Lonchura striata: one gene and its partner. The protein of the gene in region 1 interacts with the protein of each later gene in a pairwise test. Links are inferred from orthologs where the notes say so. Each region holds a gene or a part of one and is shown on either strand. Other genes may lie near its edges. The genes, in order: DAB1 and MBNL1.

What was found.
Region 2: the proteins of DAB1 (region 1) and MBNL1 interact in binary tests that used the Homo sapiens proteins (3 or more experiments, as listed by UniProt). The link is inferred for Lonchura striata from reciprocal best matches to the Homo sapiens genes DAB1 and MBNL1.

What each region holds. Positions count from the first base shown.
Region 1 is NC_134611.1:7,729,748-7,741,023, forward strand, and holds the start of DAB1 (disabled homolog 1), read left to right. Parts: upstream 1-6,197; 5' UTR 6,198-6,398; intron 6,399-11,276. UniProt on the Homo sapiens protein: Signaling adapter of the reelin-mediated signaling pathway, which regulates the migration and differentiation of postmitotic neurons during brain development.
Region 2 is NC_134612.1:26,691,204-26,702,569, reverse strand, and holds the start of MBNL1 (muscleblind-like protein 1), read left to right. Parts: upstream 1-5,951; 5' UTR 5,952-5,969; intron 5,970-9,984; exon of another isoform or gene 9,985-10,079; intron 10,080-10,243; exon of another isoform or gene 10,244-10,319; intron 10,320-11,366. UniProt on the Homo sapiens protein: Mediates pre-mRNA alternative splicing regulation. Acts either as activator or repressor of splicing on specific pre-mRNA targets. Inhibits cardiac troponin-T (TNNT2) pre-mRNA exon inclusion but induces insulin receptor (IR) pre-mRNA exon inclusion in muscle.

The DNA of each region.
Region 1 (11,276 bases):
AGACAATCCAAAAGGAAGGAAAGGAGACGGAGCATGTAATTGTTCTCTTAGGGCTGGTGGTGGGATGCTGTTTACTGAACAAGGAGTTAGGAAGGAAGCTCAGAAGTCTCGTGGTTGGGATTTGCTCACAGATGGAACTGGCAGTGACAGCAGAGCCTGGGATCAGCTTCAGCCAGCAATGGCTCTTTTTTCTCCTGTTTCCCTGGGTAACCTCCTCAATCACTTAGGATGCACCATGGTATGTCACCTTCCGCTCCTGGCTCGCTCCTTCTGATGTTTCAAGCACCCTCAATGCTCTTAATTTCCTTAAGTGTTAAGGAAAGTAATACCTGGTATCTGTAAGGTAGTGCTTGATGGGATAAAGTACTTTGATAAGCCCTTAATTATAAGGATTCTTGTAATTTGTTGACTTCCCTTCTCAGCAACAGTGAGATGTTTCTACCACGAGGCCTTCTCAGCGTTGTCATTTGACATAATTCTGCTGATTTCATTAACTGTCACTGTTTTTTTTTTTTTTTTTTTTTTTGCAAGTCGATCACAATGATTGATTGATTAGGAAAATAGGTTTTATCATCCTTAGTCTCCAAATTGAATAGTTGTAGCAGTTGGATTAGGTTAATCCTGGCAGTATCCTCCTTTGGCTGATTTCCACTGCTGAACGGAGCCGCCCCTCCTGTCCCCCTCTGCTCCCCTGTGAATTAGGGGATTAAGAGAAGAGGTGCTTAAGCTTAGCCCTTGATTGACACATGGTTATGCAAATTGTGAAGGAAACCCTGAGATTCCTGCAATCTAGCTGGAATATTGGAGATGTCTTCAACGTGCGAGTGTAACAGAACCAGCAACACCCAGTGAAAGCAAGGCCCACTTACAGGGAATTCATGATCTTGAACCCATTTTCAACTCCTGAAATCTTTGTAACCTTGAGATCCGTGTGCCCCCTGAGCAGCTGGAGGGGAAGGAGTGTGTTTTGAACAGGCAGGAGGCAGTAACTCGTGTGATGTCTCAGAATGTTAGATAAACCCTCTCATTTCCACACAGACATGGAGGTGAAAGACAGAACAAAATGGCTCTGTCGTCTGCCATGGGCTGCAAGGGAGACTCAGTGTGTGTGATTAAATAATGAATAAAATAGCCTTGCAAATGATAATGTTATATTGTAAATAATTCCATTTGTTTACCCTACTGTGGCATTGAAGTTCATCTCCCTTGGAGACTTCTCTGACTTTTGATGCTGTTTTGCTTTGCATATGCTTGATTCTTTTTTATTTTTTTTTCTTGCTTTCCACAAAATCTTCATAAAGGTTCGGGAACTGACAGGGCTAAGTGAATAATTCACAGCAAACAAAATTTTGGATGAATTTAGCATCTTTATTTCTGTAACAAATAGCCCTACACACATTCTGCATGTTTTGCACTAATTTATTGCTAAATCAGTTTTAAGTATGACTTCCACTCAAACCACCATCAATCCTTCTATTTTTATGAAAGAGGATATAAACTGTACTCTGGAAATAGCTGGGTTTAGAAATGAGTTTATTTGTGACTGGAAAAATATGTATTGCTTTTGTTTCCTGCATGAATGGCTACAGAATTGCTATTGGTACAAATATGTCCAAACATAATATTTGGCAATGTGAATCTCAATTTTTAAGTTATTTTTAAAATTCATATTTAAACTACTCAAGTTTGATCTCTCAAATGCTTTAGAAAGGAAACACAAAGCAATCAAAAGACATCTATGTTTTCCTCTAGAGAAATCATATGGAGGAATATATTTTAAAGAAGAAATAGTGCAATTACTATTAGTATAATTAACTTGACTTCTACCTTGGAGGGCAGTATTATTTTTTTTGGTGGTGACTGCTGCATAAAAATACAAAATTATTCTTTCAGTGGATGAAGGGTGTGGGCATGTATATTGTGGTTGTATAGCCAGATTAATGTTTATACCTAAATATTAATTCGAAGATTGGAATCAAATGCATGTAATGGATGTTCAGTGATGCAATGCATTTTAGTGTGAAGCATGTCAGAAATCCCTTTTAACTTCCTGTAGGTATCTGTGTATATATCTGTGTGAATCTGAAAGATGTAAAGTCAGGTCAAAGTATCTGATCTGCCTCCAGACTGTGCCACTGGTCTGTCAGCAACTGCTTCACTTCCACTGTCTGACAAAAACTGGGGTAATGACACCTGAATGAAGTTCCATGAGATCCATGGGTGGGAAGTGCTGAAATGAAAACATTGCAGTATAAAATTCAGACATTTATCTCTGCATAGAGACTCATGGTATTCCTGGGCATGTATTTGATCAAGTATCTCTGTCATTACTAAAACAGAGACCTGAGGTTTCTGTTTTGGGTTTTTTGGGGGTTTTTTTAGGCGCCACCAGAAGATGCATATCCTACCTGAGAAAGCCAGGAGTTTCCTAAAGTCATAAAAAAGAAGGAAAAAAAGTCCCCAAGCAGAGATGAAGGATGATGACAAGACAAATCAAACATCTCTTTTGGACAGAGATAAAAGCTTGTGAGATGTTTGCATTGATCCTCACCTGGAGGTTCTGTGTTTGGAAGTTTTGAAGGTTTGGGGGAGAACTGAGGTACACCAGTGAAGGTGGGTTTGGTTTCCTCATAGGAATTTTGGGTTGAGTAGATGCTAGGACCTGAGCTGCTCTCAGAGACATCTGATGGGGCTTTGAGCAACCTGACCTAGGGAGAATGAGGACATCTACACAACAGGGAGTGGAATGAGGACATCTCCAAGGTCCCTTCCAAGCCAAACCATTCTGGGGCTCTGTGATTCTGTGTACTTCCTGCAGCTCAGATGCTTTTGGAATTCCTGGCTCTGGAGCCCTTCTCATGGCATAGCAGGTGGTATTTTGTTTCCAAGCCCAGAAGGATGAGACTTGTGTAATTTGCTCTGCTTTGAGTACACAAGCTGAAGCCTCCACACTCACAGAGACCTCGGTATCAACGCCAAGATGTGGAGGTAGTTGTTTTTTGTTCGTGCTCCATTCCTATATGAAACTTTTTGAGTAACAATTAAAGGAGGGCTCTGAGATAAGCTGAATAATGGTGAAACAAAGGTACCTGCAGTGTGCTGCCTGCTCCCCTGTTGTCTTAGAGCAGCGTCTGCTGTAACTGCTGGGTACTGTGGCAGGGAAATCTCCTCCTCATTTCCATTTCAAACTCTGCCTGCTCTGAGATGAGGATAATCAGTCCCTCACTGCAGTTGTGCACTGCAGCATCTTCCCCTCCTGCTCCCTCTCCCGAGGCTCGCTCCTTTGCTGGCCCAGCTGTTTGTGGCTCTCTGCTTCCCAGCTGACTCCGAGGCACTGGAGCTCTGTGGGAGCTCTCCAGCGTGCTCCCATTCACGGGCACTTATGTGGCTTTTCTGCTCACACATCTGCGCTTAAGGAATGGAAATTCATGTCACTTGCATAGAGATTTCTTTCCGTGATCTTTTGCAAGCATTTCCCCCCCATACTGTATCTCTTTGTTTGGATGGGATTGCAGAGGAGGATTTGTACATCCATGCTCTTGGTGCATCATTAATGCTCTTTCTAGGAGAGCTGAGAGCATTCCCAAAGCCCAGGGAGCCAGTCGTACCAACAGCAAGCTCTTCAACCCAACTGGTTGTCCTGTCTAATCTTTGGCAAGTACTTTTGCTAAAAGCAGGGAGGAATCTATACTGGAGTTGGAACTAAACCCTCATCTCTCACATCCCACTCGGCATCAGGATCACAAACCCACAACTGAGGCTTTATTCATTGTTAAGTGAACCTGGCAGATCTTCTACCAAACTCTGCTCTCCAAAATCAGACAAGAAGACATCATGAGGGAAACTATTGGGGTCTAGAAATCAGAGACACCATAACTTAACACCAGAAAGATGCAGGACCTGAGGTTTGACAGGTATATTTGCAAGAGTTGTATCCCTCACATGGATGTGATGGGTAGGAACAGACTGGGCTGGCAGACTGCAGGTTCAGTGCTGTTTAAGAGGTCTGATTCCTCTTACCTTCCTCACCCAAACCCCAGGAAAGAAAGTGAATGGAAGAAACTCCGTGTTAGAAGGGCAGACAGGGAACATCTCAATCACATAATCAATAAGATATTTGACAGCTTTATTCATCTTTTATCACCCACAAGTTAAGGGTAACAAAATGTCTGAAGCAGCCATTACTAAACAGCTCCGGGTTTGGATGGAAGAAGCCCATTAAGCATAAAGAGCTGTTACTCCTGCAATAAATACGTGACACAGGAGAGCAGGTAAGAGATTGGGGCCAGAAAAAGTGGTTTAGTCAAATGTGTCAGGTCACAGTGACAAAAGGTTAACAGCCTGTCACATGGCACATGCCCACAGCCACCGAGTTTTGCAACTATTAACACCTCTCTCTGCCATGACGTACAATAACCAGAGATCCTTAAGGATCTTACATATGAAGGAATATGTAAAGCAGCTTAAGTCTCATTCTCTAGCTATTACAAGCTTGATCTCCTAGAATTAGACAGAAACTTTAATCGCTGTCTCACTGCTGTGCTTTGCGAGCTCACGCATGATTTTCTGCCTTGCCAGGGATTAATGTTGCTGTTTTGTGACATCCCACTGAAAGAATGGACAAGGAAGAGCAAGAAATGTATCTGTGCACAGACTGTAATTCTCCTTCCTGAGCACTGCCCAGCAGGCCAGGCACCTATTGACAGAGCCAGCTTAGGTCAGAGTTTGCCAGAGAAACACTTAACATCCATCTGTGAACAGCAAGGCAAGCAGGATCTACCGTGGCTGTAATACTCAGAAGTATTTCTGCCGTCAAGGGCAACGTTTTCGAGCATCAGGAACAGACACCTTGCTGCACAGAACCGAACCTCTTGTGGGACAGCCAGGCAGAATCCCAAGGAAGGGCAGGCAGCACGGGAAGAAGGGTGATAGCACATCCCACTGGGCCCGGAACGCCTTCACTGGATGCGAGGCGCCCAGCTCCGCTGCCCGGGCTGTGCCCAGGTGCTGCCCGTTGTCCCAGCGCGGCTGGGCAGGGAGGGCTCAGGTGTCCCGGCTCCCACACCGCGGTGCCGTGAGGGGGGAGCCGCGCCCGGGCCAGCCCGGGCTGGCAGGGCTCCCTCGGCCGCCTGCGGCAGGAGGGCCGGGCCGGGCCGGGCCGGGCAGGGCAGGGCAGGGCCGGGACAGGCAGGGCAGGGACAGGCAGGGCAGGGCAGGGCAGGGCAGGGCAGGGACAGGCAGGGCAGGGACAGGCCGGGCAGGGCAGGGCAGGGCAGGGCAGGGACGGGACAGGCAGGGCAGGGCAGGGCAGGGCAGGGCAGGGCCGGGCCGGGCCGGGCCGGGCAGGGCAGGGCCGGGCAGGGACAGGCAGGGCAGGGCAGGGCAGGGCAGGGCAGGGCAGGGCAGGGCAGGGCAGGGCAGGGACGGGACGGGACAGGCTGGGCAGGGCAGGGCAGGGCAGGGCAGGGACGGGCAGGGATAGGCAGGGCAGGGCAGGGCAGAGCAGGACAGGGACAGGCAGGGCAGGGACAGGCAGGGCAGGGACGGGACAGGCAGGGCAGGGACAGGCAGGGCAGGGCAGGGCAGGGACGGGCAGGGATAGGCAGGGCAGAGCAGGACAGGGACAGGCAGGGCAGGGACAGGCAGGGCAGGGACGGGCAGGACAGGGACAGGCAGGGCAGGGACAGGCAGGGCAGGGCAGGGCCGGGCAGGGCAGGGCCGGCAGCCGGGCGCTGCGGGCCCCGGGGGCTTCCAGCGGGAGGGCAGCGGGCCGGGAGCCGCGGCCCCTCGCAGGGGAGCCGGGCGAAGGACTCCGGGCCGGAGCCGCCGGAGGGGCTCCCCGCGGCCCGGGCGGGGCGGGGGGCTCCGCTGCCGCTGCCGCTGCCGGGGGATGCGGTAGCGCGGAGCTGCAGGGCACCGGCGCCGCCTCCGCCCGCGCAGGCTCCGCGCCAGCAGCGCCGCAGCCAGCGAGCCCCGGGCGCGCAGCCCGCCCGCCGCCGGAGGAGGAGGAGGAGGAGGAGGAGGAGGAGGAGGAGGATGAGGATGAGGATGAGCATCAGCGGGAGCGGCGCGGCTGCAGGTAGGAGGAGGCGCGGGGGGAGCCGCCCCATCGCCGCCGTGCGCGGAGCGGGTCCCGGCGCCCCGCGGAGCCCGGCGGAGTTAACGCAAAGTTTTTGCGGCGGGAGGGAGGCGCTGGCGCGGCGGAGCCGGCGAGGAGGCGGGGAGCGATGCTCGGGCGGCGCGGTGCCGCCCGCTCCGCCGGCCGGACGGGCGAGCGGGGATGCGAGCGGAGCGGGAGCCGCGCTTCGGGGCCGTGCGCGGGGATTTAACACTGCCACAGCCGGCCACGGGCAACTTCGAGCCCTAGCGAGCATCTCCGAGCCGTGCTGGGAATGAACGTGAGGCACCGCTTCCTTTCTATTTGTGTGTGTGTGTGTGTGTGTGTGAGAGAGACTCCCGAGCAGGGTTTTCTCGCCATCCACCTCTGCGTGCCAGCCGGGAAGGGGCAACTTGAACCAGCTGTCCCCTCTTGGGTTAATATTTACAGCCCGAATAAATATTTTGTTGCCCTTCTACCTTCTTCTCGACGCCTTCTTGTAGTCGAGATGATTAATCAGGGATGTTAGTGGCCAACTAGGCATAACCTTGTAGAAAAATAATTATGTGAGGATATATGGGGTTTGACTAGTGATGTGATACAGAATACACCCAGATCTCGGTAGTTGCTTCCCCATGTGTGCACGTTCAGTGTGTTTTTGATTTTGAATGGAAATATAAGTGTAATGATAAACATGTTACTTCCAGGGGAAGAATGTTATTTTCCTTGCCAGTGAAATATACAGCAGCTTCAAAGTAAAATGTGCATATCTGTGGATATAGAGAGGGGTTCTCTTTTCTGGTCAGTCACTAAAATGTTTTTCTCCCTTTTGAATGTGGTCTTTCTAGTGGTGCTGGTTGCTTTGCATGTTTGGTTTGCAGAATGAATTTCATTTCAGTGCCCTCGGAGTCTCGAGAGAAGAAGTGCACTGCTGTGTCTTCTGAGGCTGGTTGTTTTAACTGATCTTGTTAAATAATGCTATTATTAAATGATGGCAAATTGAAGCAAATGTGTTTTTCATTGCCCACAAGTTGTGTCTCTGAGCTAAATCTCTTTTTATGGCTGGAGAGGCTCTTGCACTGCAGTATTACAATACAGCCATATTAAAAAGGTCCTTGGAGCAAATAACCCTCTAATGCTGCAGCTATGTTTTCAGTAGACTTCAGTAGTTCTGTGGGAAGTGATTATGTTGGATTTAAGGAATCTGGGTAGAATTGCTTGTGCTTTTTTAATTGTGGTGTTAAACTGCCTGTAGACGTTGGTGTAAGTGGTAAATCTAGACCCAAAATCTAAAGAAGCAAAGCTCCAAACCCAAGGCTTTATTTGTGATGAATTTTTTTTTTTTTTTTTGCAACAGGTTTTTCTGTTTTTTTTTTCTTTTTTTTTTTTCCTTTTCCTTCCTTCCTTCTCCCTTCAGTTGGCAGAGAGGTCTCCAGCTTTAATGCCTTTCCTTGACCAAGCAGAGTGCAGTGGGAGATGATACCATCATTCTCCTCTTGTATGGTTTATTCTGTCTCTGGTGCTGCAAAGAATGAAGGCGAGTCAGACTAGAGATAAAAGGGAGAGAAGATGCCTGAGGTTGACGGTGTTGGCAAATTGATTGATTAAGGTTTGTTCTGAGGAACCCCACTAGATTTCAGGTGGTTTCTTTGGGATGTCCTGCTGAAAGCACAGGTCAGCATCTATCCTTCAGTGATTTCACACCAAATTCTCTGGTGTGTGCTTGGCAGGTGTGAAAAGCAGACATGGAACTAAGCTTCTAATGTCAATATTTGGTGCTAAAAGATTAATTTTGAGCAGAAGACAAACAGTTTGGTTACTTTTCTTTAACTACAGCTCTTCATTACTGGTTTTTGTTTGCTCTAGTAAACAAACCCATAGATCTTAAAATTGAATTAAGTGTATAAACTGCTTGAACCAGAGAGGGGAGACAGACTAATAAATAAAGAATTAAGCTATTGTGCCATTGACTGGCTGATTACAGCTTTGGCCTGATCACTCAAGCAGTGCTCCAAGCAAGCTCTCCATGCCCAGCACTGTTTTTTCTGGATTGGAGGATGGGAACGCTGGTGGTGACTGGGGGGTGATGTCTGCTTGACTGACAGACACTTATTGCAGAGTGGCACTCACTGCTCTGTAATTTTGCCTCTGTAATGATTTTCCCCAGAGAGCTGACAGAGAATTAAAACGTTTATGATCAGGTTTTTTGGAAGGGTTCCTCAAGATGCAGAGAGGAGGGCAGGGAAGTCCATCCATTTTTAGATCTTGCTAATCCCTTGTGTTGTTCCTGTAGTCATGCTAATTTTTATTGATTGTCATGGCAGTAGCTGTTTCAGAGCACAGAAGTGGAAATGTTTCACTTCATTCAGGGTAATCCTAAAAAGAAATCAAAGTGGGAAGGAAGGAGTGGCTGAAAGAGTTGTCTCACTCCAGTCTTTTCTTCAGGTTGTTCATGAAACAAAGGCAATAAACAGTTCGTGCACTTTTGAAATCCAATTTCTGTGAGAGGACTAAAGTTTCCATCCTGTGTTTGCTGTAAATGCAATATAATCTTGACACTACCTATCATAAGGATGCAAACCTCAAAGTTCTCCTGCTCAAGCCCATTTCTCCACTGGAGCAAAACCATGGGAACAGAGGAGTCTGTGGTGGAGGATGGATGTCATATCCCATGTGGATGTCAGCTGTGTGCAAAAGGAGCTGAGCTGGAGTCAAGGCTGGCACCCAGGCAGCAGATGACAGAAAAGTGTCATTGATTTCTGGTGACCAGCTCTAATCAAACTCATGTGTGTGCTGAGATCAGGAACACGCTCTGTGCTTCTTTAACCATCTGATGGTGACCTAAAAATCCCTCTGTGATCCATCTGTGCTCATCAGGTGAGCCTCAGCCAACACTGGTGCCTGGTATTCACCCTCTGAATTTCCTCACTCAGTTCCATACCCTTCCCTAGGCATGTTTGCTGCAGAAGCAGGATGCTGTTGGAGCTTTCCCATCCCCCTGTTCCATCCACACTTTGGCAAGGGAATTAAGCATGATGTTGCAGCCAGTCCAGTGTGGAGCTGACAAATAGTGACACCTCCTTCCAGGGAAAAAGGAGGAGGGTTAGGATATTCAGGAGAAAATCCCAGAATGGGTGTATTCCCCATGTTCCCCATTTTTCTGACTGCAGCCTCTCTACAATTGCTCTCTCGGATTTTTGAGGATGTCCTTCTGCGTCCAGAGCTCTAAAGAAGGACTAAGTGGTGTGTTTGTGGGTTTATGCTTAACCAGGGATGCAGGAGCAGGCTGGAAGGGAAAACAAGCCAATCTCAACTGCTGCTAAGAGCTCTTGGAAGTGGGAATGAGAAGTATTCTTTTGAGTAACATGGATAGCAGGTGGAAATGACCCTATACACAGTGTCTATAAAACAGTGTGTTGGATAAAATGATCCTATTACAGGAAGTGCAGAGGGCAAAAAACCTAAGCAGTCTTGACAATCATTTTGGGATTGTTCTGCAAGAAAATCAAAGGCTTGTCAGTTTTTGCTTTTATGCACATAAATCACCTTTGCTCCTCCTGTTTCATAAAATGCACTGGGTCAGGACTTTTCTTGCCTCTATACTGTTGTGAGTATTTACAGTAGAATACACGTAGCACACAAAAGGAGATTCATATTTCACAGCACTTTCATTTTTCATCAGTTTGCCAACTTAAAGAGCCTCCAACTTCCCTTTAAAATAGCATGAACATTTGCAAGCCAGTTAAAAGGAATGAGAAACATTCTGATATTCCTCTTCTATAACCACAGATTGATGCATTCAACAGCCAGCTCCTTTAATTCTTCCAACATTTAAACATGAGTGACTTAGTGCAAAAAAAAAAAAACACTATATGAATTTTTACTCCTGTTTTAATGTAGCAGAGCCCTATTGAAGTCAAAGCAAGTGCAGCTGGTTCCTTAAGCTGAGGATATGGCCCAAAAAAGGACTTTCCTAATTGGCAGGAGGCTGGTTTGGTATCATTCCTTGCAGGGCAATATTTTAGGAAAAAATAGAAGAAAAAAAATCTTACTAACATCAGAGGGATTTCTCATTTGTAAAGTTAAATGCTCCTCAGTGAGAGGTGAGGGGATTACTCCAGCTCAGAGAGTGTTTTCCCTGACTAATATATCCAAAATGTATGTTGGGATTGCCCAGCACTGATAATTCACACACCTCTGGAGTGGAATACAGCAGCCATTCCAGGCTGGAAACATTATGCAGGAGGGGTTTAGGGAAGAGAAATGAAGAAAAACTAATCCAATTGAAACTGCAAGGGGAATTTAGGAAGCAGAATGCAATTATCCGAGTTGGATATTGGCCAGGACGTGTTAGTTAACATTTTTACTCTTGTGGGAGTTTTCATGGGATCTTTAATGACGATGAATGGTCAAGGCTCTATTTTACATCTCATTTGAAATCCTGAGCTTTCACTTCTTCATGAGGATGAAGGAAGCTTTGCCTTCCTTCAAGTTGAGTTGCTTTAGTGAATCTGCTTTCCTCCCACAGGGTCAGGGCTCTCTGGGCACACCTGGCAATTCCACCTGGCCATGGGTTTTCTTCACCCTGAGCTGCTGAGTCAGAAGCAAATCCCAATACTCAGCATTGCACATCAAAGCCCAAATTCCAATTTAAGAGATCTTCATGTGGAGAATATTCCCTACAGTTCAACTGGCCATGGCATAGCATCACAGAATGGTTTGGGTTAAAAACCTTAAGTTTTTTGGCTTAAAAACATTAAAGATCAACTCATTCCAGCCTCCTGCCATGGGCATAATTCCCTCCTTCCCTAAGAACCAGACTGCCAGGTTTCTTCCCTGTTTTATGGGGACTAATGGATGATGGAATCATCTGTCAATAGTAAATGTGATAAATCTTATTGAAACCGGCATTCCAGGAGAAAGGAGTGGATGCATAAAATATTTTCTTCTCCATAATCACAATTTTCCATTTAGTTATCTGAACTTGAATCCTTTCTGAAGCAAACAAGCCAACAGGCACTTCTTCTCTATAAAAATTCAGTGTCTGGTTACAAATGTATATATTAGTGCTTTTTGGTATTCAGGCAAGGCAAACAGTAGGATGGCAGTTTGCTTCTCGGGGGGAGAAGGGGCTTCCTCTTCCTTTGGAGGTTCAGGGATGGCGTGTTTGGTGTGATTC
Region 2 (11,366 bases), on another chromosome or scaffold:
GGACTGATGCTCTATGAACAGCTGGCACAGAAAAGCAGATCATGGAAGTTCTTGGGGTGTCAGAGTGCAGTGGGTGGTGTGTTCTCTGTCCTCTGTGGGGTCTGTGCTTGTCGCCATGCTCTGGTTAACTGGGGCCCATTATCCTGTTGGCAGCTCTTGAGCAACGTGTGATTACAGAAGAAAACCCTGAAATTATCTTGTTTGACTCGGCCTTGATGAGAGCAAGACAGAAACAGCACTCCTGTCATCTTCCCATATTTCTATTTGGATTATTTTGCTTTGGACCTGACAGGATGGGGCTAGTGGATCCAGGTGAGGGCTGTCAGCCACAGAAGTTGCTCCAGTGAAGTAATGTGGCCTCTTGTATGCTGTGAACCCAATGCCGTCCCCAAAATACTTCATCTGTGTTGGTTCATTCCTCAGGCTGGGAAAATGTGTGCCGGGCCAGGCGATCCCCAGAGCTGCGGTGTGCTACCCGGTCCTGACCCGGGCCAGGGGATTCCCAGAGCTGCGGTGTGCTACCCGGTCCTGACCCGGGCCAGGGGATCCCCGGAGCTGCGGTGTGCTACCCGGTCCTGACCCGGGCCAGGGGAGCCCCAGGGGAGCCCCAGAGCTGCGGTGTGCTACCCGGTCCTGACCCGGGCCAGGGGAGTGCCAGAGCTGCGGTGTGCTACCCGGCTCTGGCCGGGCTGTGCCCCTCCCTGCCCCGGGCCAGGGCAGGTCCTGTCCCGCTGCCCAGCCCGGCCCCAGCAGCAGCGGCAGCGGCCGGACCCCGCTCGCCGGGACCGCTCGGTCTGAGCGCTCGGGGCCGAGCCCCGTGCCGCAGCTGCGGAGCCCCGTGCCGGCAGTGCAGGGATGCCCTCCGCTGCCGCCACCGTGCCGGGCACCGGGGCCCGGCGGGGACACGCTGGGTGCCGCGGCTCCCGGCTGGGCGCTCCCGGCACCCGGCTGTCTGCGGGCGGGCCGGCGACACCGTGTCCCGGCAGGTGCCGGAGCCGCTGGCCGTGCTCGGCCCTGCTGCCCCAGCCCGGCACTGCCCGGCGCGGCACTGCTCCGGCACGGCACTGCCCAGCTCGGCCCGGCACTGCCCAGCCCAGCACTGCCCCGGCCGCAGCTCTCCCGCCGGCCGCCCCGCGGAGCTCGGGCAGCGCTGCCCGCTCTGGCACGGCCCGGCCCGGCACGGCCGGCCCCGCGGAGCTCGGGCAGCGCTGCCCGCTCTGGCACGGCCCGGCCCGGCACGGCCGGCCCCGCGGAGCTCGGGCAGCGCTGCCCGCTCTGGCACGGCCCGGCCCGGCACGGCACGGCCGGCCCCGCGGAGCTCGGGCAGCGCTGCCCGCTCTGGCACGGCCCAGCCCGGCACGGCCCGGCACGGCCGGCTCCGCGGAGCTCGGGCAGCGCTGCCCGCTCTGGCACGGCCCGGCCCGGCCCGGCCCGGCACGGCCGGCCCCGCGGAGCTCGGGCAGCGCTGCCCGCCGCGCAGCAGAAGCCGCTCCGGCGGAGCGATGCGGCCGCTTGTGCCCGTGAGCCCAGGTCGCGAGGGGAGCGGGCTCGGCCGTGCCGGGCCGGTGCAAGGGCTGTGACACTCACACCGGCGTGCAGGTACGCACAGGCTGCTGGCAAAGGGTGTGGGGCTGGTGCTGGGCACTGCTGGGGCCAGTGCTGCTAAAACACGGGGAAACAGAGCATCCCTGTTATTTGGCTAAAAATATGGGCGTCGCTAAGCCACGTCTGCCTCGCTCCTTATACCATAATATTGCAGTGGAGGCATCGGCCAAGTAGCAACAACCCTCCAAGGTCCCATAGAAATGAAACCAGACTTTGAAATGTAATTTTCATGTCCTTCCTTGGCAGGAGGGGACTGTTGCTCCCTGTCACTGCCTGCCGGTCTGTGGCCATGCTGGAGCACGGCTGGGTTATGTAGCGTGGGGCTGTATGAAAGGCTGTGCATTATTGCTGCCCTTTGGAAATGTCTCCATGCTAGGAATTGCTGTGTTCTTTGTGAAGGCAGACTCACCTTGAGTTTCCACTTGTGCCCCTTGGCAGTTTCCCACCAGAATACTTTTAAACATGGCTGGTTTGGGTCACAGATGCACAAATCCTCTGGAAGAAAAAGGGATACTTTGGTAAAACTCCACATCTTTCACCAGAGCAGCTTTTCCTGCTCAGCAGCAGCCCTGCTTTGTGTTAAATAGTGAGAGTAACTAGTAAGTAGTTGTCTGTGTTTTTTCCCTGAAGAATTTCTTTGTTTGTAAATGTGGCTGCGAAGTGTTGATGCCTCTGTCATTTAGGGGACAGGCGGTGCCCCCACGGCTGGGCAGCTCAGATTGGAAATGGTAGGTTTGGAGATGGGTTCCAGGTGCCCGAAGTCCTGGTTGTAGAGGAGGTTTGGAGATGCTGCCCGTGTGCTGAGGGTGGCAGGAGATGCGGGTCCAGCCCCACCTGCACCCCTGGCTCTGGCTGGGAGCGCTCTGCCCTGGGAGAGCTGCGGGCAGCACCCCAAATGTGCCTCAGCATCCCGGGCACCGCGCTACCGGCGAGCCTCAGCCCAGGGAGCCTCACCCAGATGATATGTGAGAGAAACGAGGAACATTTCCAGGAGCTAATATTTAATTTGGCTGCATCGGTGCGAGCAGGAATGTGCCATTGCTCTGGAAGCCCAGGGAGGCTGTGAAAGGCAGGGAAGGAGGGGAGTTCCACTGGCTCTCTGCCAGCCACTGGGATGATAGCAAGCAGCATTGAAAAAGAAAATTAAATAGAGTCCTAGGCCTGAAAATCTGCAAACTTCTTAAAACTATCTTTTATTTTATACCTGGATACGTTTAGTGAAAAAGATTTAAAAAGGTAAAGAATACAGGAGGGATGCCTTTAGTAGCATCACTTGTTTGGGATCTACCTTTTGAAAGGGAAAAAATGCCAAACAAAGCAAATAAGTGTCTGTTGCTACACCTGGTGCACTTTGCCTTTACATATGAATTTAACTTTTGGGACTTATGTGTTTTATTTTTTGAGCCAACCTTGTCCTCCTTTATGGCTGGACTCAAACAATCCTTTCTGGGATGGAACTCAGGGATGTTGAGATGCTCCCACTCCTGCCCAGTGCCAGCCAGGCCAGTGTGCCCATGGCAGGTCTGCCTTGGTGACACAATTCCTCCTGGAAAATACAGAAGCTGCCTAAACAACACAAGGTACAAAAGGGTCAGGTTATTATTATTTCTGGGGTTTAATATAAAAACATGGGGATCCTGCTCCTGGTTCCTGTATCAAGGAAGGGACCTTTGTTTCCAATCTGGATCTGTTTGACACGATATCCAGCAGGAAGGCAAAGCTGTTATCTCCAATGCTGGGATGGAAATGAGGAGCAAGGACACTTTATCTCCTAATGAGGGAGAGATGAGATTGTCCATATGTTTCCCACATTTCCTCTGATTCAGATAATCTTTTACAGATTAACCAGAGACTTCTTATTCTTTGCAAACAAAACAAAATGCTCCTGCCCCTAAAAACTTTACAGTCATTATTTTTCAAAACAAAGAAGTGACCAAAATTTGGAAAAATAATAAGGATGGAGTGGGGTGATTGGTCAGACACAGTCAGCTTTAGTGAGAAAGAATTAAAGCTCCTGAAATGTTGGGAACAGAAACCCCTTCAGCAGCATCGTGACATGGGCTGGTCTCGCTGGCTTTCTGAAGGAACTCATTATTTTAATAATTGCAGCCTAAGAAAACCTTCAGGCTTTGGACTCTTCAGGAATAATAACAAAAAAAAAGGCAAAAAGCTGGGCAGTGTTGTCATCTGTCTCACCACGACTGCTCACCCTGTGCAGTCTGAGGTCGACGACACATTTCAGCTCAATTCAGAACCAGCGCCACAAAGCACACCATGGCCTGAGTGACAATGTGTGTCTGTAGTGAGTATTTGGTGAGCAGTGTTACTCATCAGAGCATGAAGAGTCCCCGTGCTGCATGTCTGCCAGCACAGGGAAGGCGGGTGGGCTCTGCTCTCTGTTTGCAGCCCGGGCAATCACGTCAGATGAAGCGGGGCTGTTTGCTAGCTCACTGTGCCTGGCAGTCCCACAGCTGTACCAAGAGAAAGGAGAAAATCTGTCATTGCAGCCGAGATTTTCACACTAGACCTGGGCCCCTCTCCATGGCGGCCTCTTTTCTGATGGAGGCCTTGAGGATGTTGGGTTTCTGCACAGATAGCTGACACCCATGGGAAATTTTATCTGTTGTATCTCTCTGGGTGAAATTTCTGGGTACCTTTCACCCTTATCGGGGGTTTTACTCTGACCGAGGTACAGAACCGCTAGGAATTCTAGAGAAGGTTTCCTGAAGAGACAGGAAGATAGATTTGAGTGTTTGCAAGGCTGGAGGAAACCTGGGATGGCTGCAGTGCCTGTACTCTGCTTGGAAAAAGGCTTCAGGATGGGAAGAGATCCCTATCCCCGCCAAAACACACAAAATTCTGTAATAGGAAAGATAATTCTCAGGTGACTATTGTAATTTATTTTATTATTTATTAGCGATTGAAATCAGGACTCGGGACTTGTCTGTCTCACCACAGGGCAGTTCTTGGAGCAGGCTCAGTGAGGAAGCGTGCAGACACAGAGACGTGCTCCCCCACTCCGCTGCTGGTGCTGCGGCCAAGCTGGGGCTGTGCCAGGCCGGGGCTGGCTGGTACCTGCCACGAGCCAGGCTCAGGGACTCGTGGAAAGCTGTTCCCCCCACTCCTGCAACACCCCGTGGGGTGGGATGGTGAATCCAGCAGCGCTCTGCTGCAGGGCAGGAGCAGAGGGGGACACACCGGTGCAGGAGCGGAAAGAAACAACAGGAAATCCTGTGCATGGCCGTGCTGGCTGCAGCGTCCCGCAGCAGCACTTCCAGGCTGCTCAGCTGCGTGCTGCACCTCCAAGCACGCCTGCAGCACGCCCCGAGCTCGGGCGCTGCAGGGCCGGGTCCCGGGGAGGTGGCTCCGCTCCCGGCACGGGGGCAGTGGGTACGAGCCTCCTGCTCCGGCTGCGGGGCACAGCTGGCACAGCCGAGGGCAGCCACGCGGCCTTTCCCCTGCAGCACGGCCCACAGAGCCCTTGCCCTGGGCCGTGCCCACCATGCCCGCTGCCGGGCAGGAGCCACTGCACGGGTTTACCAAAGCTGGCACGGCCAGTGAGGATAGGACACCATGGCGTTTTCCCCCCGGGCTGAGCGAGGGGAATTTCCAGCTGGCTCTGAGAGCTTTGGGTGGAAGGGCTGCTGGCTTTGGAAGCCTGGAGTTGGTGGTAACCCCAGCAGAAATAGCAAAAGTGGGCCCGAAAGTGCCTGGCAGGCGAGGCCAGCCACGCTGCGGGTGCCGGCGCTGGCCAGGCAGCCGTTATCTGCGGCTTGCAGCAGGAAGGAGTCGGGGCCACCGCCCCAGCATTGCCCCATTTCCAGGCAGGGAGCGCGGGCCATGGCCCATGTCAGCGGCCCGAGCCCGTTTCCCCAGCAGCTGCCAGCGGGCAGATTAATGGCTCGCAGGGAGACGTCTGCCAGTGCTGCAAGCCGCGTGTCCGTGTCCCTGCCACGAGCTCCCCGGCAGCGAGCCGGGCTGCAGCGCCATGCAAAGCACTTCCTCTGGCGTGTCCTTTTTTACTAGCAGAAAGTAATTTTTGCTTCCTTAAGAAAATAGATGTGCAAAGCCCAGCCCGTGGCCGTGGTTAGCGCTGCACGAAGGGCTCGCTTCGCTGCCTCGGCCCCATAGGTTCGGTAAGTGTCACTCTCTGGGCTGTCCCCGCTTCCCCCGGCCGGGCCGGCGTGCTGCGGTCGCAGAGAGCAGCAGGCTGTCATTGGCCCCGCGGCACCGGGGCGGCGGCTGTGCCAGCAGCGCTGCCGGCGCCCCGTGCGCCGCGCAGGAGCCCCGGGTGGGACGGAGGCACTGGCCCCAGCGCGGGGCCCGCCGAGCGCAGCAGGAGAGCGCGGCTGTCGTGATGGACGGTGAGTCGTTCACAAAGCTGGACGGTTTCATTGCCGTCTTTCATTGCGCTTTCGCGTACGTGCCTCGCTATCTTGAGTTAGTGAAGACTTCAATAATTTAGTAGAGAAATTAACACTAAATGCAAGATGGTTTTATGCAGGGCATGAGTAACAAAACTTTGTGGTTCTGAAGAGCATTAAAAGTTGCAGTCAGGCCCATCATAGACCCGCTGTGCTGCGTGCTGGGGGTCCACTGGGACCCCTGTGGTGTGGAGCTGCACCCTGAGTGGCAGCAGCCTGGTCCCAGGGACACGTGGAACAAACACGGCGCGGGAGCCACTGCCATGGCGCCGGTGTGTGCAACTTCTCTTTCTTCTGCTTTTACCACCGTTTTATCCGTTCATCACCTGTGGTGCTTACTGCGCTGGAAAAGCTAGAGAGGTTTTTGCATGCTTACAAGAGCCCTGTGAGCTGGTTTAACATCTGCTGTGTTCTGGCAGTAGAGCGGACACAGGGCTGGTGAGGCACCCCCGCCATGCTGTGCACCACTTTGGGTGCACTTCCCCGTGGGGCCGAGTGCTGCTCCTCCGCAGGGTCCTGCCAGCCCTGCACCACTTTGGGTGCATTTCCCCGTGGGGCCGAGTGCTGCTCCTCCGCAGGGTCCTGCCGGCCCTGCACCACTTTGGGTGCATTTCCCCGTGGGGCCGAGTGCTGCTCCTCCGCAGGGTCCTGCCGGCCCTGCACCACTTTGGGTGCATTTCCCTGTGGGGCCGAGTGCTGCTCCTCTGCAGGGTCCTGCCAGCCCTGCACCACTTTGGGTGCATTTCCCTGTGGGGCCGAGTGCTGCTCCTCTGCAGGGTCCTGCCAGCCCTGCACCACTTTGGGTGCATTTCCCTGTGGGGCCGAGTGCTGCTCCTCCGCAGGGTCCTGCCGGCCCTGGGCGAGGCAGGTGGGTGTCCATCCCGGGCGCGTTGCTGCTCAGCCCCTCTCCGGCACTCTAGGGGGCTGTTGGTTAAGTGCATGGGAGATTGAAATGACATTAATCCTCTGAGAGCAACCCTCAGCTTCCTACCGTGAAATCTGCTACTGCTGGCGAACGTCCCGCCAGTTTTCCGTGACTAAACACCACGTTGGATCGCATGCAGCAGCCGTGGGGCTGAGCACCCACACTGCTCCCGTGGGGCTGGGGCTGTGACCAGGTGCTGCTGGAGGGGCTCCAGCATGAGCTGCAGAGAAGGAAAGAAATTGCCTTTGCAGAAAAGGCAGAAGCTATAACGTCTGTCACAATTATTTGCTAGGAATTGCGCTGTGGATTTTTCTCATTTATGTGCTTGTAGACTAGGAGAGATTCTAAGTATCTTATTGCTTTCAACAAGAATGCTATCACACAGTAGTTGCAGGAGGCTTTAAAATAAAAGGACAAAACAGTGTAAGGGCCAAGTCATAAATTTGTGTGCTATATTTACAGAAATGCACATGCAGATGAGATCATTAAACCAGAAACAAATGTGCTCTGGCCTGGCGGGAAGCGGTGGCTGCGTGCGCCGTGCAGCAGCCGCGGGAGCGGGCTCCGGAAGAGCAGGGAGGCAGCAGGGCCTTCCGTGGCAGCCGCACTGGAGCTTGTGTCAGACCTTTTTGGGGAACTTGAGCTTCACCAGTGTTGCACAAATAAGGGCATCAGGAAGCAAACGGCTTCTCCAGGGTTGCAGTCATATTCAGTTCGGGTTTGAAGCAACTCGTGTGTCTGTCTTTAATGAAGGTTCAAGGAGAGAAGGAAAATCAGAGTATAGGTTGATTTAGTGACTGCTGTATTGCAGCTATTTGGTGAGATAAAATGAAGACACACTTGGAGCTCAGGTGGTTTCTGTCTGTGTGTGAGGCCGGGTACGGAGCCCCCCATGCTCCTAACAGGTGGGAGCCCGGCAGCGAGGAAGTGTTTTTGTTCTGCTCGAGGCGCAGCCGGGATGAGGATGCCCACAGGCACCCTCGTGTCAGGCTCTGGGACACACTGGTGTCCATGCTCCGGGTGACCACTGGCCCTGCTGCCTGCTGGGCTCAGAGGGAAGGGCAGGCACCTTGGCACCGTTTCCACTGGTCAGCCTCTCCCCTCAACAGCGCCAGGGCTGCCCTGACTCAGCCAGGAGAGCTCCTCTTCCTGCTCCACGTGCAATAGCTCACAGGGACTGTAAAACACAAAGTATCCCTCAAAAAACTTTCTTAGCATACAGTGTTTCTCTTTGTCCTCAAGTACCGATTTATGTCTTCAGGGCTGAGCGGCGCACGATGCAGTGTGCTATGACACATTTCTTTATCTTTGCTGTAAGACAATTAGTCTGTTGGAATCCCAGGTGGTGGTTGCTGTTGGCATTGGATGATGACCTGGGAGACCCCTGCATCTGAAATTTCCTTACGGTTTCCTCTTTACCCTGCCGTGCCTGGACATTCTGCTATGAGCTTGTGCCCGACGTCCATGCCTCAGGGTTTGATCTGCTGTAACCTGCATAAAGCAGTGTGAATGGAATGCATTCACTTTCCAGGATACTGTGAGAAATGCCATCACTGTGCCCAGGACACAGCTCCAGTCTCCCAGTGCCAAGACACTGTTCCACGCCATTATTTAAGAAGAATTTGGGCAGGGAGGAGTTTGTACAGAAACTTTGTGACCAGAAGTGCTTTGAAAACGCCCAGAGTGGTGATGTCGGTTCTCAGGGAGGAAATGGCCCCGGGAGCTCTTTGTGCTTGAGCGGGAACAGGAAGAGCACAAGTGGCCCAGTACAATGTTCACTCCCAGGGCCCATCGGGGCTGTGCAGCCAGGGCTGCTCTGGCTGGGGGACATCTGCGCTGCACCACAGCGAGGCAGGCAAATAGAAAATACAATGGGATACCAGTTGTCATGAGTTTTGTTCTGCTCTGGATTAAACTTCATTGAAACAAAAGTGTAAGAACATGACATTTTTCTGAAAGAAAATGGAATGCTTCTTTGTCCTTTCAGCCTCCCGTTTCTAGCAAAAAGCCATCAGAGTTAACCAGCAGGTATCAGAAAGCTCTCCCAGCCACTGAGGTGCCGGCACTCCCTCGGGCATGTGGCACACCTGGATGCTGCCCAGGCTGGGCAGCTCTGAGGAGGGATGCTCACTAAATCCATTCTGTTTCCAAAGTGCTGCCTGCTCCGCTGCAGGGGCGATTAGAGCACAAGAAAAGCAAAGTTAATTATATCCCCTCCAGGCTTGTAACAGAACAAAAAGCCTTATGAAGGAAGCAGCTGGAGTTAGATCTAGAGACCAGCTAACAAAATCTGTCTCCCAAAGTCAAGTGAGGAATTATTTGTCATTACTTCATCTCACAAAACAACCCTCTGCTTAGGTATCTGTGTTAAAAGACGTTTAACAGTACGTGACACTGGAGATAAACTCCCTGTCTCTTTCCTTGTCTCTTTTCAGTTTGTCTTTCCTAAACTGTGGTTAGCACCACGGTGGTCTGATGAGCCCTTTGCACATGACCCCGTGTGCGTGTCGTGGCAGGGGACACTTTGGTACACCTCTGGCTAATCTTTGTGCACTCTGCCGTCGGTGTCAGCCACACGGCCGGACCGACACCTGCCCTGTGACAGGGCCAGAGCCGAGCAGTCGCCCGGGCGGTGGGGCTGCGTCTCTGGAGGGCCGGAGCGGTGCAGCCGCTGCTGGTGGGTGCCGGGGGAGCCGTGCCAGCCCCCGCGGCAGCCGGCAGAACCAGCCGCTCTGCAACGGCTGCTGCGGCTCAGAGGAGGAGAGCAGGATCCTGCCGCCCGCTTTGGGAGCGGGTCCTCGGGGGACCGTGCTCCCCGGGACGGCCCTGGGGCTCTGGGGGACCGTGCTCCCCGGGACGGCCCTGGGGCTCTGGAGCCGCCGCGCTGGGCGCTGCGCGGCCGGGCCGGGCAGCGCCGCCCCTGCCGCGCCTCCCCGGCCGCGGGCGGCGGGGCCGGGCACGTGTGCGGGCCCGGCTCGGTGACTCATGAGGCGCCGGCCGCTCCGCCGCGGGGAGGATGAGGGAGGGCGGCCCCGGGGGAGGGCAGCCCGCCGCGCCGCCGCCCCGCTCCGCGCCTGCCCCTCGCTCCCGCGGTGCCCGGAGCGCGGAGGCCGCCCCGGGAGCAGGTGAGCGCGGCCGGCCGGGGCCGGGCCGGGCCGGGCCGGGCTCCCCGCGGGCCCGGGGCTGCCGGCGGGGCCGGGGCCGGGCGGCGCTTCCGGGCGGGGCGGGGGCGGCGGCGGAAGCGGGCGCGGGGCTGGCGCGGGGAGCCCGGGCCGCGCTGCCTCCGCCCGCCGCGCCGGCGGCGCCGTCAGCATGAGCGGCTGAGCGGGCGGGCGGGCCGGCACGGCCGCGCCGGCAGGCCCGGGGTGAGTGCGGCGTGAGGCCCGGCCCGCGGGCCGCGGCGGCGGCGCTCCGGGGCGGCTCCCGGGGAAGGGGGGCTCGGCGGGCCGGGACAGGCGCCGGGCTGCGCCGGGGCCGGGGCGGCTCCCGGGGAAATGGGGGCTCGGCGGGCCGGGACAGGCGCCGGGCTGCGCCGGGGCCGGGGCGGCTCCCGGGGAAATGGGGGCTCGGCGGGCCGGGACAGGCGCCGGGCTGCGCCGGGGCCGGGGCGGCTCCCGGGGAAGGGGGGCTCGGCGGGCCGGGACAGGCGCCGGGCTGCGCCGGGGCCGGGGCGCGGCCCTCGGGCAGGGTCCCCGCCGGGGCCCGGAGCCCGCGGCCGCGGGGCGCTCGGCAGCGCGGGGCCGGGGCTCGGGGCTCGGGGCTCGGCCGGGGCTCGGCCGGGGCTCGGGGCCGGGGCTCGGCCGGGGCTCGGGGCTCGGCCGGGGCTCGGGGCCGGGGCTCGGGGCTCGGCCGGGGCTCGGGGCCGGCAGCGCCGGGCGGCGGCGGGGGCGGCGGAGGCGGGCCCGGCCGTGCGGGCGCAGCACACGGCGGTGCGGGCGGCAGCGCCCCGCGCGCTCTCACCGCACGGCCTGGCCCCGGAGCTGCCGCCGTAGCCTGACGGAAAGAGAGGTTTCTGTTTCCTTTCTGGAGAAAGTTCTTGAATTCAGAACTTCGGTTGGCAGGTGCAAGCTAGTCAGTTTGTTACGACGGTGGTACAGTGGAAGAGAAAAACGCAGAGATGTTTGTGTTAAATGGTTGTCTTGGAAAAATGTGTGATTGGTTTTTTTTAGAAAAAAAGAAATAATTTCTTTCGGTGATTTTTTTGAAGTAGGGAATATATGCCCCTGGGAAAGGGAGAAGCAGGACATGGGTGACAGATAAAATAAGGAGAGCAGGGAAGGGATGTAATGGGAAAGAGGGATTGAAATAATGAATAGTAATGGTAAATAACTTAACTGGGTACATCTTTTTTAGCACTATGGAGAAGGGGTTCTAATGAAATGACAACATATTCCAAAGTGACAAGGAAATTA